Pelodiscus sinensis: one gene and its partner. The main gene of each other region encodes a partner of the protein of the gene in region 2 in a complex. Links are inferred from orthologs where the notes say so. Each region holds a gene or a part of one and is shown on either strand. Other genes may lie near its edges.

Region 1 (8,015 bases), on a different chromosome or scaffold from region 2:
ACCCTTGTACGACTGCTCACTGTGTGCTAATGAGCCAGGGACTTTAATATCTAGCACATTTTGGGATGAGAAGGGGAGCGTCCTGTACAAATTGAAACTGGTAGTTTGGGTGAACCCAGCTGAATTCTGCATGTGCCCCACAGCTCTGGTTGGCCCTTAGCGAGAGGGAGCTGCCCGCAGATACTAGCACAGATGCTATGGGATGGGCATCTGACAGACACCTTTAACAATTCCAAGCAGGTGAAGCTGCTGCCTCAGCCTCCTGGCCTTGCCAGAGCAAAATCAGACATTACACAGGGGGATTTGGAATTTCCTTAGGCTGTTCCTCCCTAGTTGGGTGACGGTACTCGGCTGTGTTTCCTGGGCCCCATTGCACCCTCCCCCACTGTGCATCTTGCTGGTTCCCACCATCCTACCTTAGACATGGCTGCATTTCCACCATGGGGGAGACACGCTCTGTACTGATACAGTGTCCAGACACCATGCTCAGGTGTGTCCCCCACAGCTCTGAGCACCAGAAGCTGGGACTGGCTCACTCCATAGCCCTGATCTGTGCATTCCCCCCGGGGCCACTGTCGCTGGACTGGACCGACCCTTGGACTGAGCCAGTCATGCCCTGCTGGTGGCTTTGGCCAGCTCAGGACAGAGCAGACAGGCGGGGGGTGGGGCAGGGCCATCCTTACCCATATGCAGAATGTGCAGCTACATAGGGGCCCCGCTGGGTCTTAGTATCCCTGTTCTGTGGCTGAGCTTCCGCCAGAGAGGATCTGGCTAACCGAAAGGTGACAAAGCCTGCTAGAGCCATGGGCAGCGCACGGAGCGTGGGAAAGAGCCATGCTGGGGTCATGAAGCCATTTCACAGGCATGTCAGTATAAAATCACGGCTCTACAAAATCGTCACACGGGGCCCAGTTTACCAGTCCTGTAGGGCCCCATACACGCTAAGGAGGCCCTGGGTGGGGCTGTGCTGGGGGGCAGCTGGAGCCCAGGGGCTGCGGGACCCGCGCGCGGCAGGTGCAGCCCCGGCCCAGCCGGCTGCAGGAGGCACTCACCGCCGCCAGGGGTCGCCGCTCTAGCAGCCCAAGCCGCTCATGGAGCCGATCCGGTCCAGCTTGAGGCCGAAGCAGCCCTTGGACAGGCCCTTCTTGCTGACGCCCTTGTGCCGCCGCGTGCCGGGGTAGTCGCGCAGCAGCCGGGCCCAGGCCGCCCGGGACTTGGTGTCCACGCGCAGCTCCCGCAGCAGCCGCGAGCCCGCTGCCCGGCCGCCGCCCGCAGTCTCCTCTCGCGCGGGGCTCGCCGCGGGTTCGCGTCCCGGCGCGTTCCGGGCAGCCTGCGGGGAGGAGCGCGGGGCGCGATGGCGTGAAAGCGGCACAGACCCCGGCCCCGATCCCGGCCCGACTCCAGCCGCCCGATCCCGATCCCAGCCTCCCCTCCGGCCCCGATCCCAGCCTCCCCACCGGCCCCGATCCCTCCGGCCCCGATCCCAGCCTCCCCACCGGCCCCGATCCCAGCCTCCCCACCGGCCCCGATCCCTCCGGCCCCATCCCAGCCTCCCCACCGGCCCCGATCCCTCCGGCCCCGATCCCAGCCTCCCCACCGGCCCCGATCCCTCCGGCCCCGATCCCAGCCTCCCCACCGGCCCCGATCCCTCCGGCCCCGATCCCAGCCTCCCCACCGGCCCCGATCCCTCCGGCCCCGATCCCAGCCTCCCCACCGGCCCCGATCCCTCCGGCCCCGATCCCAGCCTCCCCACCGGCCCCGATCCCTCCGGCCCCATCCCAGCCTCCCCACCGGCCCCGATCCCTCCGGCCCCATCCCAGCCTCCCCACCGGCCCCGATCCCTCCGGCCCCATCCCAGCCTCCCCACCGGCCCCGATCCCTCCGGCCCCGATCCCAGCCTCCCCACCGGCCCCGATCCCTCCGGCCCCATCCCAGCCTCCCCACCGGCCCCGATCCCTCCGGCCCCATCCCAGCCTCCCCACCGGCCCCGATCCCTCCGGCCCCGATTCCCCCCGTACCAGCCTCCGTCCGCCCCGATCCCAACCGCCTCCTCCTGGCACCAAAGACCCCCCCAGCCCGGATTCCAGCCCCCGGGACGCCCCGTTCTAGATCCCCCCCCCCCCGCCCGCTTGCGCGCTCCCAGAGTTCTCGGGCATCTCCCCTCCCACCCGCAGATGGTGCAGCGGGACCCGGTCCCCGCCCCCTCCAGCTTCTCCCTTGCGCCCAGGACCCCGGCCCTGGCCTGGCCCGTCGGGTCCCAGCCCCCAGGTTGCTGCTGCCTCCTGCAGTCAGCACCGACGGGCGCCGCGATGCACCTGCCGGCCGCCCCACTGCCAGAGGCTGGTCAGTGACACCCGGCAGGGAGGGGCGGCTCCGCTCCAGCCCCCTTCTCCCTCAGCACCAGCGGGCTGGAAAGCAGAGCGCAGAGCTGCCTCCGCCGGAGCGGCCAGTCCCCACCCGGAGCCGGGGTCTGGCGGGGGGGAGGGACACGCCGGGAGACCCTGAGACCCAGCAGCAGCCAAAAGGCTAAAGGGGGGAAGCTCCAAAGAGCAGGAGGCTGCGCCGGAGGCGGGGGGGGGGGATCTGCCCCCACATTCCCCAAAAGCCCCAGCACGGAGCAGCGCGGGGCAGGGCTGCGGGAGGGAAGGAGCCACCCCGCTTGTCAGAGTTCCCCTTCCTCCCCCGGGAATCCGCCTTCCCGGGGCGGGCTGGGGGTCCCCGTCCCGTCCCTGAACTTCTCGGCTCCCCCCAGGGCGCAGCGCCCAGCGCGCCTCACCTTCTGCTGGGGCTGAGCCGCCGGTCTCGCCTCCAGCCCGACGGCCAGCAGGGCCAGGAGCAGTCCGCACGCCAGGACCTGTGAGAGCCGCATGCTGGGGGGCAGGGCCCCGCTGCGTTCGGGCAGAGCGAGCCGCGCCGAGCCGAGCCGAGCCGAGCCAGGGGAGTCAGCCGCGCGCGCCGCGAGCCCGACCCTGCTGCTCCTCGAAGTGCGGAGCCCGGGCTCGGGGCTGCTCCTCCAGCCCCTTTATAGCCCAACCTGCCTGGTGATGTCATCTGCCCCGCAGGTCCGGCCCAGCCCCCTGCTCCGCCAGCGCGCGGCGGCCCCCGTGACACGCGTGGGGCTGGCTGGGCGCAGCTTGGCCGCTTGGTGCCGGGGGCGCAGGGCGCGCGGGGCCGACCCCTCCGGGGAGCCCGCGGCCACCCCCAGCCCGCCCTGCCCGGCGCCAGCTCGAGCCACCCGCCGGCCCCGGGCGCTTCGTCCCCAAAGCAGGTGGCTCCGGCTGCGCCCCCGGCCCCGCTTGGGGCTTCCCCCGCCGGCGCTCACCTGCCGGGGCTTTGGGGGGCGCCAGGGGCCCCGGGGTGGCCCCTCCGGGCCAGGGCGGGAGCGGGGCTCCGGGCCGGGGGCTCTGAGCCAAGCCCGCTCCGCGCTGCCGACGAGCGCTGGGTCCTCGCCGGGAGAGTCGGGGCGCCCGGGGCCGGCTCGCTCCGCGCCGTGTCGGGGCTTCCCGCAGCCGGGGCGCTGGCTCGGAACCCGGCCCGGGCCCCGCCACCCGCCTGGCCGCTCCCCACGGCCCGGGGTCTCGGCGCCTGGACTCGGGGCAGCGCGGGGGGGGGGGGAGTCCCTTGCCCACGAAGCTAGGCGCAGGCCGGGGGCCAGGAGCTCCCTGCGCCTTGGGGAGGCAGCGCTGGTACCTGGCAGCCGGGAGAAGCTCTGGGGGGTGATTACTCAGCAGGGCTCCAGCGCTGCCCCCTGCCTGGGGTCAGGCCTGCGCCCCCCAGCCGCCTGCGTGCAGTGGGGCAGGACTCTGCCCCGGCCGGGCTGCTGGGCACAAAGGGGGTTGAGCCGGGGGAGCTGGAAGGACCCAGTCTCAGGTCCCTGCCAGGCTGGGATGCTCTGGGCTGCTTTCAGCTCCTGGGTTTGTTCCTGGGGGGCAGAGACTGGAGCTTGGAGGGCTCATGCCCCAGTGACCAGGACTGCAGAGGAGGAACCGAGAGCAGAATTTGGCCCAGTATCTTATTTTCTGGCTAGGACTTTTCTTCCCCAAAGAGTCTGTTCAAAGGATCTAGGCAGGACTCTGCAATGGGGCTGCCTCTGGGGTCCAAGGAGGCAGCTTTTTAACAGCTCACAGCAACACTGGTCAGTTTAGGGCAGGAAGAGAAGAAAAGCAGGTGAGATCAGAGTCACCTCCCCAGTGGTGGCCACACTTCAGTGATCTCTGGACTAGGGATGTCATAGAGTAGTTGATTAATCGATTAACTGATTCACCGATAAGCAAAAGCATATTGATTAATGCTGTAGACTACACACATCCCCTCTGCCAGTACATTTTTTAGCAGGCTGGCCAGCAGCCAGCTCAGTCCTGGTTTGTGCCAGGTCCAGGACCTACCCCTACTGTGGCTCTGCATTTAAAGTGCGTTAGGCAGCCCGGCTCAGTCCTGGCTTGCGCCAGGTTCGGGAGCTCAGACACCATCACCCCGCTGGAGAGAGGCTGCTGCCACCTCACGCTGCTGCCTCTGTCTCAGAGGCAGCAGCCCCAGGGTGACAGGCAGCCAGTCTGCGAGGGGAGCTGGTCCTAAGGGCCCCACACCTGTGAGGTTTGCAGTAGTGTCTGATTGTGGCAGGTTCTTCGTCAGTGTCCGGGAGGGTGAAGAAACGCTTCATTTTACACAGGGCCAGAGGCCAGGGCCACAGCAAGGGAGGTGGCCTGGGGAGCTGTTGCCAAAGGGTCTGGAGTCTAATTCCTGACCTCTCGCAGGTCCTCTGCTGGACCCCACTACAAACCCACCAGGGTGCAAGGCCTTGTCCCGCCATGGCAGACCAGCACCTTGGAACCTCCTGGCTGGACAGTGACATTCCAGGGGCTACAAGAGCATCTAGCTGGCATGGAGCTTGGCAGAGGGGAAGGACTTTGCAGCTCCCTGGTAGCGTTGGCGCTGAACTATTGAGCTGCGGCGTGGTGGGGAAGGGCTACAAAAGCCAGGCAGGAACGGTCGGACGCTGGGTTCAGCACATTCAGCGGTGTCATGATTAGAACGGGCTGGGGCTAGCTCACTCGGCTTCCCGAGTGTGGGGGCAGGCTGACCCCGCTGCCAGCACCAGGCCCTCCACTAATCCATAGGCCACAGTCACTTGGAGAAGGGGGCTCGGGAGAAGCGGGGGAGGGGAGGGGCAGAGTGGGGTCAGGGCTTAGGGGCTGTGGAGGGGAGGGAGCAGGGTGGGGTTGTCCCAGGCTCTGTGGCCCCCTAGAGATGGCCCTGCTGAGGGATGGGGCTGGCCGCTGGAGCCTGCAATGCCACATACACAGCTCACAGCTGGGTAAGGCCCCATGAAATGCAAATCACTCTGAGGGGCAGGAAAAAGAAGACGGGTGCAGGAGTGACTGAATGGACCAGAGACATGGCCCTGCAGCCAGCATGCCGGGGGGCCGGAAGGGGGAGCGACACATCCTTCCCTAGTGCCTGTCATGATCAGCCTCATCCATCCGGCAAGAGGACTTACCCCTGTGGGGCCGAGATCGTTTCAAACACAGCTTTAAACCGGTGCCACATCAAACATTTCAAACCACGTCTACACAGGGCCAGAGGCCAGGCCCACGGCAAGGGAGGCAGCCAGGGGCGCTGTTGCCAAAGGGTCTGGACTCGGGGTCCACATGGGGGAGGAACACTGGGAACTGTAACCAAACCTCAGTTTATTTAACATCATGCCCTCAAAGGGGCGATCCAGCCCACGGGGGATGGGGCCAAAGAAGTGACAAACAAACCATTGTCCTTGTCTCTTTCATTTGCTCTTTACTTGGGGGGTAATTTTCAGTATGGGCTCATGGCGGGGGCTGAAGGTTGCCTTGACTAATGCCCTGTCTAATTCCTTCAGCGCCAGCGGTGATAACCCAGGCCATTAGCCAGGGCTGGGCATGGGCCAGCCTGATGTAGAGGGGTAACATAGGTAACTGGTAACATTCACTGAAACCCCATGGGGGGCAAGTTCGCTTATTAGACCCTTGATTTCAATGGTAGGTGCCTACATATCTTTGGGGTTCTGGGCCCTTGTCAATATCGGCCAGCAAATCACAGGCCATGGGCAGCTGGATCACAAGCTGGAGGTTCCGGATGTCCATGAACTCCTCTGACCTCTGACCTTGGACACAGCCCAGCCTGCCCCAATGTGGTGCCCATTTTTCTCGCGATGCCCGTGACCCAGGGAGTTCCCATTCGGGCTGATTGGAGGCAACCTGTCCCTGGCCGGAGCAGTGGCGGAGGAGGGGTTAGTCTCAGACCTTTGCTGCTGTCCCGTGTGATGGAATTTCCAGGCCACTGTCTTTATACGGGGGCTGCTTGGCTCAGCCACATGTCCCCTGCTCATGAAACACCTCCCGGCCCCAGGGGCTGTGCTTCCAAGCTGGCACTGCCTTGGGAACAGTGAGGCACCAAAGAAACCTCCACCAGCCCTCTGTCCTTACGGGGACGGAAACACCCCGGAGATGATGCTGCAGCACCCTCGCCATTCGCAGCCACCTCAGAGCTTTAATAAAGGGGGGGCCAGGCACGAGTGGGCCCCGCTGCTCCTGATCTCACTGACTCTGCTTCTCCCCTAGGGGCAGCTCCACTGACTTCAATGGAGTCAATCCTGGATCTACACCAGTGCGGACACAGAATCAGGACGTCACTGCTGCCGCCTTGGGAACAACAGCCATGGGATCAGAGAAGCAGAAGCAACAGCTCCCACTCCGGCACCGAGACAGCACCTGGCCGGGGGTGGGGGACATGTCAGGGGGCCTGCTGCAGGCACATGCCCAGAAGTGTATCTGTAGCCATCTACCCCCCAGAGCCATTTAGCTTTGCCCTGTTGGCATGGCTGCAGGTGGCATCGCTGGGCGCGAAGGCGGTATAGACAGAAGAGGGTCTAGGTCCCCCCAGAGCAGCGGCTGTCTTGCGAACCCCACAGGGCGGGAAGTGAAGCCTCTAAGACTTTCTTGGGATAAGAGAACCCATCAAACCTGCTGCCCTTTATGGGAGAGTTCAGGGGGTTCATTAAATATTGTGTCTGGGAAGGGGGCGGGGCGAATCCCAGGATTTTCAGCTCCAAATTCAGGGTTTGTACTTTTTAAAAAGGAGGCCGTACAAAATCAGCTGTGAAGAGACTGTCCTAAGAGCATCAGCGGGGAGAGGGGATTTTGTGGGTTTGCCTTCCCCTGCCACACTGACAGCCCCCCCCCCCCCGCACACACAGGGTGAGGGCAGGAGATGCACTGTGTGTACCTGCCCGGACTGGTTTCCCTATCCTGGATTTTTAAACCCCTCCCCGCAGTTTCCGTCCTCTTGGCTGCGGTGAGCCGTGACATGGGCCAACAGTTGCAAACCTAACTGCCCAAAGTCGGTCATTTAAATCCAGAGGAAGCCATGGCTGGGCAGATCCTGGTTTTCAGGGGTGCTGAGCAGCCTGGCTCTCCCTGAGACTGATGGGAGGAGACGGGCGCAGGACTGCGAAAACGGAGCTACAAGGGTCCAGACCCTCAAAGGGGCTTTTGCACCCCACTCCCCTCGGCTTTGAGGATCTAGGCTGAGATTTGAATTTAGGTGCCTTGCTTGAGGCACTTCCGCTTGAAAACTTTGGCCATGGGTTCTGACATGCATGGGCATGTCTGCACTGTAGCTGGCACTTTCCACTGAGCAAGACCTTGCCGCACAGGGCTTGGAATTCAAGACCCGGGAAACTCTGATTGGTTCTAGAGTCCCCCGACCAGCTGTTTTTTCATGAATGGCTCAGTGCAGCCGCTCCAAACTGGGCTCACCTGTGTCTGATGTAGCCAGTTATATGACAGCCCTGCATGATATAAGGAAAACCTGGCAGCTGGATGAGTAGTAGGTCTAGGCTGCCGGTGGTGGGAGGTAGAAAAAGGCCCACGGGGAGCAGACATCTGCTGGGGGAAGTGTTGGGCAGAGCCCTTGCTGGGAGGGATACCAGGACCTGTTAAGTGTAGCCATGGAGGAGGGTGGTGGGAAAACACACACTCGCTTGG
Region 2 (6,958 bases):
TAAGAAAGTGCAAGACTCAGTATTTAAATGTAACCTTAAAGGAACTATATGCCCACCTTAATTACTGTATGGCAAGTTCCCATAAAGTTCTAAGCAGGTTACTCAGAAACCACATGCAATTTTCATACTCAAATACACCACACAAGCATCCTATGTTTCTTTTACTCTTACGTTTAGATTATTTGGTCTGGTTATTTAGATTATTTGATTATTTATCTATTACTATGTTGTGTGTGTGAGAGAGACATAATATTGCTCAGTCAGTCTTCAAGTGCCTCAGACCAACAGGGAAATCTGCCCTTTGAGATGTCTCTGCATAACAGATGACATACATATGCAATGAGAAACACAGCAGAGCCAGTGTAAAGTTTCTGCAGTGTATATCCCACCCCCAACAACTTGCATAACTGGCTCCTTTGATAGCTACCATAGTGCTGAACTAAAACAACCTAAAAGCCATCAGTGTGAGACCTGAACGGAGGAAAACTTCCCGATCTGAATAAAAACAGGAAACGACACAAAAGATATGCCCTACTGATAGTGTGAGTGGTCGTTTGAAAGCACAAAATAGCCTAGAAAATTTCCTACTTATCTCGAAGTACAAGTAATATTTCTAATATGGACCGTGTTAAGTGAAGCCCTAGAAAAAAATCTGGCATGTCGTTTGCTATTATGTACCTGAGAAAACAACTAGTAGTACCCGCTTGTAAAACAGAAAAAGCAAAGACACGCGAAGAGCTAGCTGAAGAAAAGATACTCGAACATTTAGCTTCAACAGGAGATAAACAACCAAGCAATGCCTGACGGTTTAAATCGTTCTGGACCAATGTTGTTATCCCTTCCTGAGCATTTTCATAATCACAGTCGGGTTTATTCATCATTTCTTGCGCACAGTGGTTTGGATTTCAGATTACTCTGCCCCCGAGCCTTGATAAGCAACTCTGCTTTTATCAACTCACATGCATGTCTCTGTGTTACTTCCCCAGGAGTTTGCTTTGCTTTCAGACAGAGCCTCAATGTCAGCCCGGCTGAATGCAGCTACAAAGAACTGCATCACAGACCAGACACGCTGCCACGTATGTCCATGCACCTACGTCCCCTCTCCCCTAGTTCAGGTGCACAGGGCGAGAACAGCGCCGGAGACATGCAGCTCGCTGCACGCACTAGTTCCCAGGGAAGGGAGCTGGCGCGCGCTCCGGAGCCGTGTGTCTGAGCCGGCGTTACTCAAAGGGACTGTGAGTGAGCGCGTCCAGCAAGCCGCGGGCAGGACTGAATTCCGAGCGGCATGTTTTGCACGCTAGGACGCCCCTCAACGCCCCCTATGTGCAGGCAGTGCGCGTGGGAATGAAGCACTGTGGCACCCGGGCAGAGCAATCCCCGCGCAATGACTAGCCACAAAGGGGATTGGAAGACCATCCCCCTAATCCTCGCACAATGCTGCATCTTTCCTCCAACGGGGGCGGCCTGCGGTCCCAATTCCCGCAGGTCACGACCCGGCAGTGACTGGCTGCCCATGAAGATCTGCTCCACTACACCCCTGGGAGACGGATGTTCAACCCTCTTGACCCGCGCGCAGCCATGTACGCCAGGCGAGTCTCTGCGGACTCGGGTCCAACAGAGTCTCGCACCCGCTCGGAGCTGGTGCAAGGCGGCGGAGCCTGAGCCACAGCGCCTCCGCACGGCCACACAAGGGGGCTAAGCGCCTCCACCAGGCGCTTTCGGCGAGGCTGGCTCAAGGCTTGGGCAGGCAGCGCTTGGGCCAGGTTTTTATGGCGGGTGCCCGATGGGGGAAGGGGGCGATGATTTGGCCAAGGCTCCTCCAGCGGCGCCGGGGGGACTGGTTTGGAGAAAGTTCCCTCTGGAGGCGCTGGCGGGAGCTGGTGAGCGCAGAGGGGAACCGCCGGGCTATAGCCATGGCTGGCTCCTGCTCCAGCGGAGCGTGAGCGAGGGTTTCCCGCCGCAGATGCCCCGGGCCGACGGCTCACTCACCTCGCTCCCCGGCCTGGATGGAGCGCACGATCTCGTCCAGGTCCAAGTAGCGGCCGCTCTCGTCGAAGCTGTGCACGGCCATGTGGAACGCCTCCTCCTGGAAGACCACATGCACCCCCTCCATGGTGAAGTAGCAGTTGCGCTCCTGGTTGTTGTCGCTGTAGAGCAGCGTGGCCCGGCTCCACTTGTGGTGCCGGAAGAGGGCCAGGAACATCTCGCCCATCTTGGAGTAGGCGGGCGAGACGCGGATCAGGTGCGAGTACTCGCCCGTCTTGGTGCTGAAGCCAGTGGCCAGCGCCCCCGCCGAGATCATGGGCAGGTTCCAGTGCGAGGCCAGCCGAGCCACCGGGGCAGCCGCGTACTCGCAGACCGGCCCCAGCACCAGGTCCGGTTTCTGCTGCTTCAGGGCCACCAGGTCCACCAGGCTGAAGAGCGCCCGGTTGCCGCACTCGGAGTCCTCGTAGATGGTCTCGAAGCGGTAGCCCGGCAGGCAGGTCCCGTTCTCCTGCAGGCTCCGCACGGCGTACTCGATGCCTGGCTTGACCCTGGCCACGGAGAACAGGTAGGAGTTGTCCTTGGGCAGCAGCACCAGGACCCTGATCAGCTTCTCCTCCTCGGGGCTGCTGCTGCTTGCCAGGAGCATCCAAGCCGCCAGGACGCAGGGGAGGCTAAGTGAGAAGAAGGATGGCATTGTTTCAATAGCAGTGAGCTCCCTCCCCCCTCTCGCTGCTGCCTCCGAGTCCCCCTGGGTGCCCTGCACAGAACAAGAAAGTGCTACCAACCTCTTCCCCCTGCACACTTTAATACAGGGATCAAACGCCTGGGGTGAGAGGCAGCTGCTGGGCTCTCGCTCCGTTGTTGGGTGGCTTATTTTTAAGGGTGTTTTTCAGGTTAACTGGCCCAGCAACTTGCTAATGGTGGGGCATCTTCCTCCCCACGCGCTGCCTCCTTCCTGATCTTATTGATCCTCCCTGGTCTATAGCCCTGTGTTTAAATAGTGTGGGAGCCAACGCGCCTGTTGCCACACATGGCGCTGCGAGGCCGGGTTTGTGTTTGGGGAGGAGCCGTTCATTAACATTCCTGCAGGGCTGATCCGCCCCTCCGCCCTCCTCCCCCCCAAGAAAATCCCGACTCCCCCCAGCCCGCCACCCCTCTTCCTGTACCCAGCCAGCCGTCCATCCCGTCCGGGAGCGCTCTGATGAGCTGTGACTGCAAATAGGGGAGCAAGGGGAGAGGTGCGGAGGCAACGAAACAAATCGTTCTCCCCCTTTGCAATGCGGACTTTGGATATCCCTGCACCCCCATCGTGCGCGTGTCCCATCAGGGCGTGTAAAAGACGCGTTTAAAATCCGGACCTGGGGATGCGGCGAGCGCGAGTAACACGCACGAAGTTGGCTCGTAATGCTGTAGTAACTGTGGATGGGAAGCGGCTGGGCCAGTGCAAGAGGCAGCCAGCCTGTCCCGGAGCTAAAGCAAAGCACCGGCGTTTAGTAGCGCTGCTCTCCGGACTGCGAGCTGCCCTCCGAATGAATTAATCCCCCAGCCCCACCAATAAAAGATCCTGTCATGCAACAGCAGCCCCCGCTGGAAGTGGCAGAGTGGCTGTGAGAAATGCTCTGGGCAAAAGCACCCTGCAGCTGTTCTGCAGCAAGGGAAGGTAGCGGTCAGCTAGTCAGCGGTCCTGCTGGGATCAGCACAGGACCTGGAAGGAAGAGGACATAGTAGCTGCTTTCCTTGGGCCCCCAGGCAGGATCCCAGACAGAGCAGTATTATAGTGGGCAGTTTGGTACTGCGCTCAGCGTGCCACATGGGCTCCGGCTGAGTGGTACCTTAGTGCGAGAGCGCACCCATTGCCACGAGTGGAGCAACTCCTCGTGGTAGAACAACTCAGCCCCAGAGTGGGTGACGAGCGTACGGGCTACTTCCTGTATTTCACTGGCAGTTCCATGGGAATCAGTGGAGTAGCAATGTGAGTAAAGCTTGCAGTATCTGCCCCTAAATTAACATGTGCTAATTGTGCCCTTGTTTCTGGGGTTGTGTGGGAGAGAAAGCCCTGCTACTTGTCACAGCTTTCTTGGGGAGAAGCATAATTGAAACACTAGCATCCAGGGATTCCCAGAGGATAGATCTAAGAGGCTCACTAGGGTCAGGGAGTAGGTAGGATTTTGGATGTGACCCACAAACTATCCAGCAGAACTGGTCGGCAGCATGAGAAGCAAACTGCCTCCTTTAAAATGATGTAAATACCCCCACTCCATGAAACCGAGGAGATCTGGGAAACATTGTGCCACTCTGAGACAGTGCCCCATGGTGTAACCCTTAGAACAGTTCTGCATTACCCCTCCTTAGGAGCTTAATAGACACAGTTTAATTCCGCAGAAGACTTTGTGTGCCCCAGGAAATAAAGTGTCTAACTAAAAGCAAAACTTGTTTTTCACTTATATTATTTCATATAACGAACTTGTATTTACTGTTCAGAGAATTGCTTATTTAACACTATGCTTTGGTGTGAAAAATTCCCTTAAGTAGTTTGGACACCACTGTCTGACTAATTTACTTAGCTGTTGTCCATGGTAGAAAAAAACAACAATCTTGTTTTTAATATGTATTGCTAGCAAAGAACTATAACTTTTGGAACTGCCACTTGCAAATGGATGATTTTTTTCTGAATAAGAAACCTTTCTCAACACTAAATATTGAAAAGAATTAAAATGATATAGTGAAGGAAGATAGGAACAGAGTGGAGAGGAGAACTAACTGCATTTATCACTTGTAAATGCGAGATCTCTGTGATTCTGCATATTTCATATTGGTCAGTGGTCCTTGTCTGCACGCACAGAGTAATACTGCATAATGTTACATTTTATACTTATTAGGAGAGGCCCCAGGTTATACTGGTGGGTGAGTGAACTGCTTCTAACCTTACAGGAGGGGTCTGTTTAGCTCAGGGTTGAGGTCATTGTCAGGGCAATGTCTATAAACAAATTGTTGCTGCCTTACTGTACAGAGTGCAAATTGGAGACTTTGGTTCCTAGTGGAATCCAGCTGTTTGTCTTTGAGAGCAGTGAAGTCTGAATTAAACACAGGAGGAAACTACAAATGCTTGTAAAGCAATTAAACTAAGCAATGGAATTAAAAATGCCCAATCACATTATTTTATTTCCTGTGCACAGCAACTAAACAAAAATTAAACTAGGATATTTTTCTGGAATATTTATCAAATGGAGATTAGCCAAAAATAAGATGCAGAAGTTCTAGGAGAAGCAACTTGCCTGGAAGATATACATTTCAAGTAATTATGTGATTACTTAATTTGGTTTCAGAATGGTTTTTAAGTTAAATGGGTACATCTGTTCCAATGAAGATAATTTTGTATGCTGCATTGCCAGCCCCTGCTTTCCATTGACCCCACATGTCTGTTTATGACACTGCAACCTGGCAACATCTCTTAGTTTTTTTTGTTCAAAATTTGTCTTTCATTTGTGTGTGCTGCTTTTTGTCTGAGAGCATAAACTGTGCCAATATGGAAGAGATAAGAAGCAAACAAATCACAAGTCAGCCATCCTAATTTATTTTAACTACTCCTCAGGGAATATAAGGTACTAAGTATACAGGACAAAAATGATAAAAAGAAGACTGGAAAATACCAGTTGCTAATAGAAGCTTGAAGGCCAGTTTTGATATATAGATGCAGATTTGGATTTAGGCCTGCCCCAACCTGCAACTCTTATGCACTTGAGCATTGCCATTCAATCTAGTGGATATCTGCTTTAATAAACATTTCTGGATCAGATCCTTAAAGCACCAGGATCTTTTGGAGCCCAAAGTGTATGTATAACAATTTATTGTTGATCCAAATTGCATCTATCATTTAATCCACCTTCTCATGAGTAAAAATACAGTATGGCCACAAATATTTTCCAGGGCTATAAATCTAAGATTGCTTTCTCATGAGCAAACATAAGTAATTTCAGCTACATACACAATTGTTAAGAGGAAAATCTTGTACAGTCCTGAATCTTTTGTCAGGCAACATGCCCATTGGCTACAATAAGAATGAAGATTTCAGAATCTGTCCCTTTAGGATTAAGATAATTATGAAATGGTATTTTCCTCCCAAAATAGCATGCATACCAATCAAGAGTAGAGTCACTGTTCCAACACAAAGCATTACAGTAAATTGTACTTTTTATTCTGGAAGGCTTAATTCCTAAATTAAAGTTCCAGATAACATTAAGAACAGTTTATGAAGCCTCATCTAGTTTAAGAAAGTTCTTCTTGGGGGAGGGTTTGATGAAAACACAGTACCCCCTAGAGGTTGAAAAGATGAAAGAACTTAATACTGTCTGCTGTGCAAATAATTTCCTACTTTTTCAATTTTTAAATTCTTTCCCTGTTTTCCTATGCAGTTTTTATTTTATTTTGTTGTTATATTGTATATTATGGATGTGCTATTGATTCATTATATATCTCAGTGTATCTTTTTCATGTTTTTGTACATAATGTTAAGTGAAATGCAACCAAGCTTTTAAATGAAGATACTACAGCATGAAATTTCATGAAGGACAAAACTCATAACAAAAAATTAAATTAAACAAATTAATATAAGATCTTCTTTAATGTTTTTTCTTTTGTTATTGAAATACATAAAGGAAATTCACCAACAATGAGTGATGTATATTAGGGCCAAAGAGGATATATTAGAAAACCTAGTTTAATAATACAAAAATAATAATTAATAATGAATAACGTTTTGGTTCTGTGGTGACTTCTATGTGCAGATCCCAAGTACCTGGCAGATTAACAAATTAAACTTCACTGTACACCAAGCCTATTTGAAAGATAAGTAAATATAATTAGTTCAGTTTTACAGATGGGGAAACAGAAGGGTTAAGGGGATTGATTATGGCCACACTAAAGGTCTGAGATAGATCATGGGAAAGAACTTGGATCATCTTCCTCCAGTGCT

The links.
Region 1: the proteins of NPR3 (region 2) and NPPC are in contact, whole or in part, in a crystal structure (PDB 1JDP), measured with the Homo sapiens proteins. The link is inferred for Pelodiscus sinensis from reciprocal best matches to the Homo sapiens genes NPR3 and NPPC. Residues at the interface, in NP_001191304.1 of Homo sapiens: Asn110, Tyr138, Ala141, Pro142, Arg145, Ala161, Gly163, Phe164, His166, Glu170, Tyr171, Tyr204, Lys208, Leu209, Arg211, Tyr214, Phe215, Leu217, Glu218, His221, Glu222, Gln225, Ile233; in NP_077720.1 of Homo sapiens: Gly109, Cys110, Phe111, Gly112, Leu113, Lys114, Leu115, Asp116, Arg117, Ile118, Gly119, Ser120, Met121, Ser122, Gly123, Leu124, Gly125, Cys126.

The regions. Positions count from the first base shown.
Region 1 is NC_134720.1:49,834,598-49,842,612, reverse strand, and holds the start of NPPC (C-type natriuretic peptide), read right to left. Parts: upstream 3,009-8,015; 5' UTR 2,870-3,008; coding exon 2,777-2,869; intron 1,331-2,776; coding exon 1,073-1,330; 3' UTR 1,053-1,072; intron 1-1,052.
Region 2 is NC_134716.1:107,934,539-107,941,496, reverse strand, and holds the start of NPR3 (atrial natriuretic peptide receptor 3), read right to left. Parts: upstream 3,007-6,958; 5' UTR 2,681-3,006; coding exon 1,990-2,680; intron 1-1,989. UniProt on the Homo sapiens protein: Receptor for the natriuretic peptide hormones, binding with similar affinities atrial natriuretic peptide NPPA/ANP, brain natriuretic peptide NPPB/BNP, and C-type natriuretic peptide NPPC/CNP.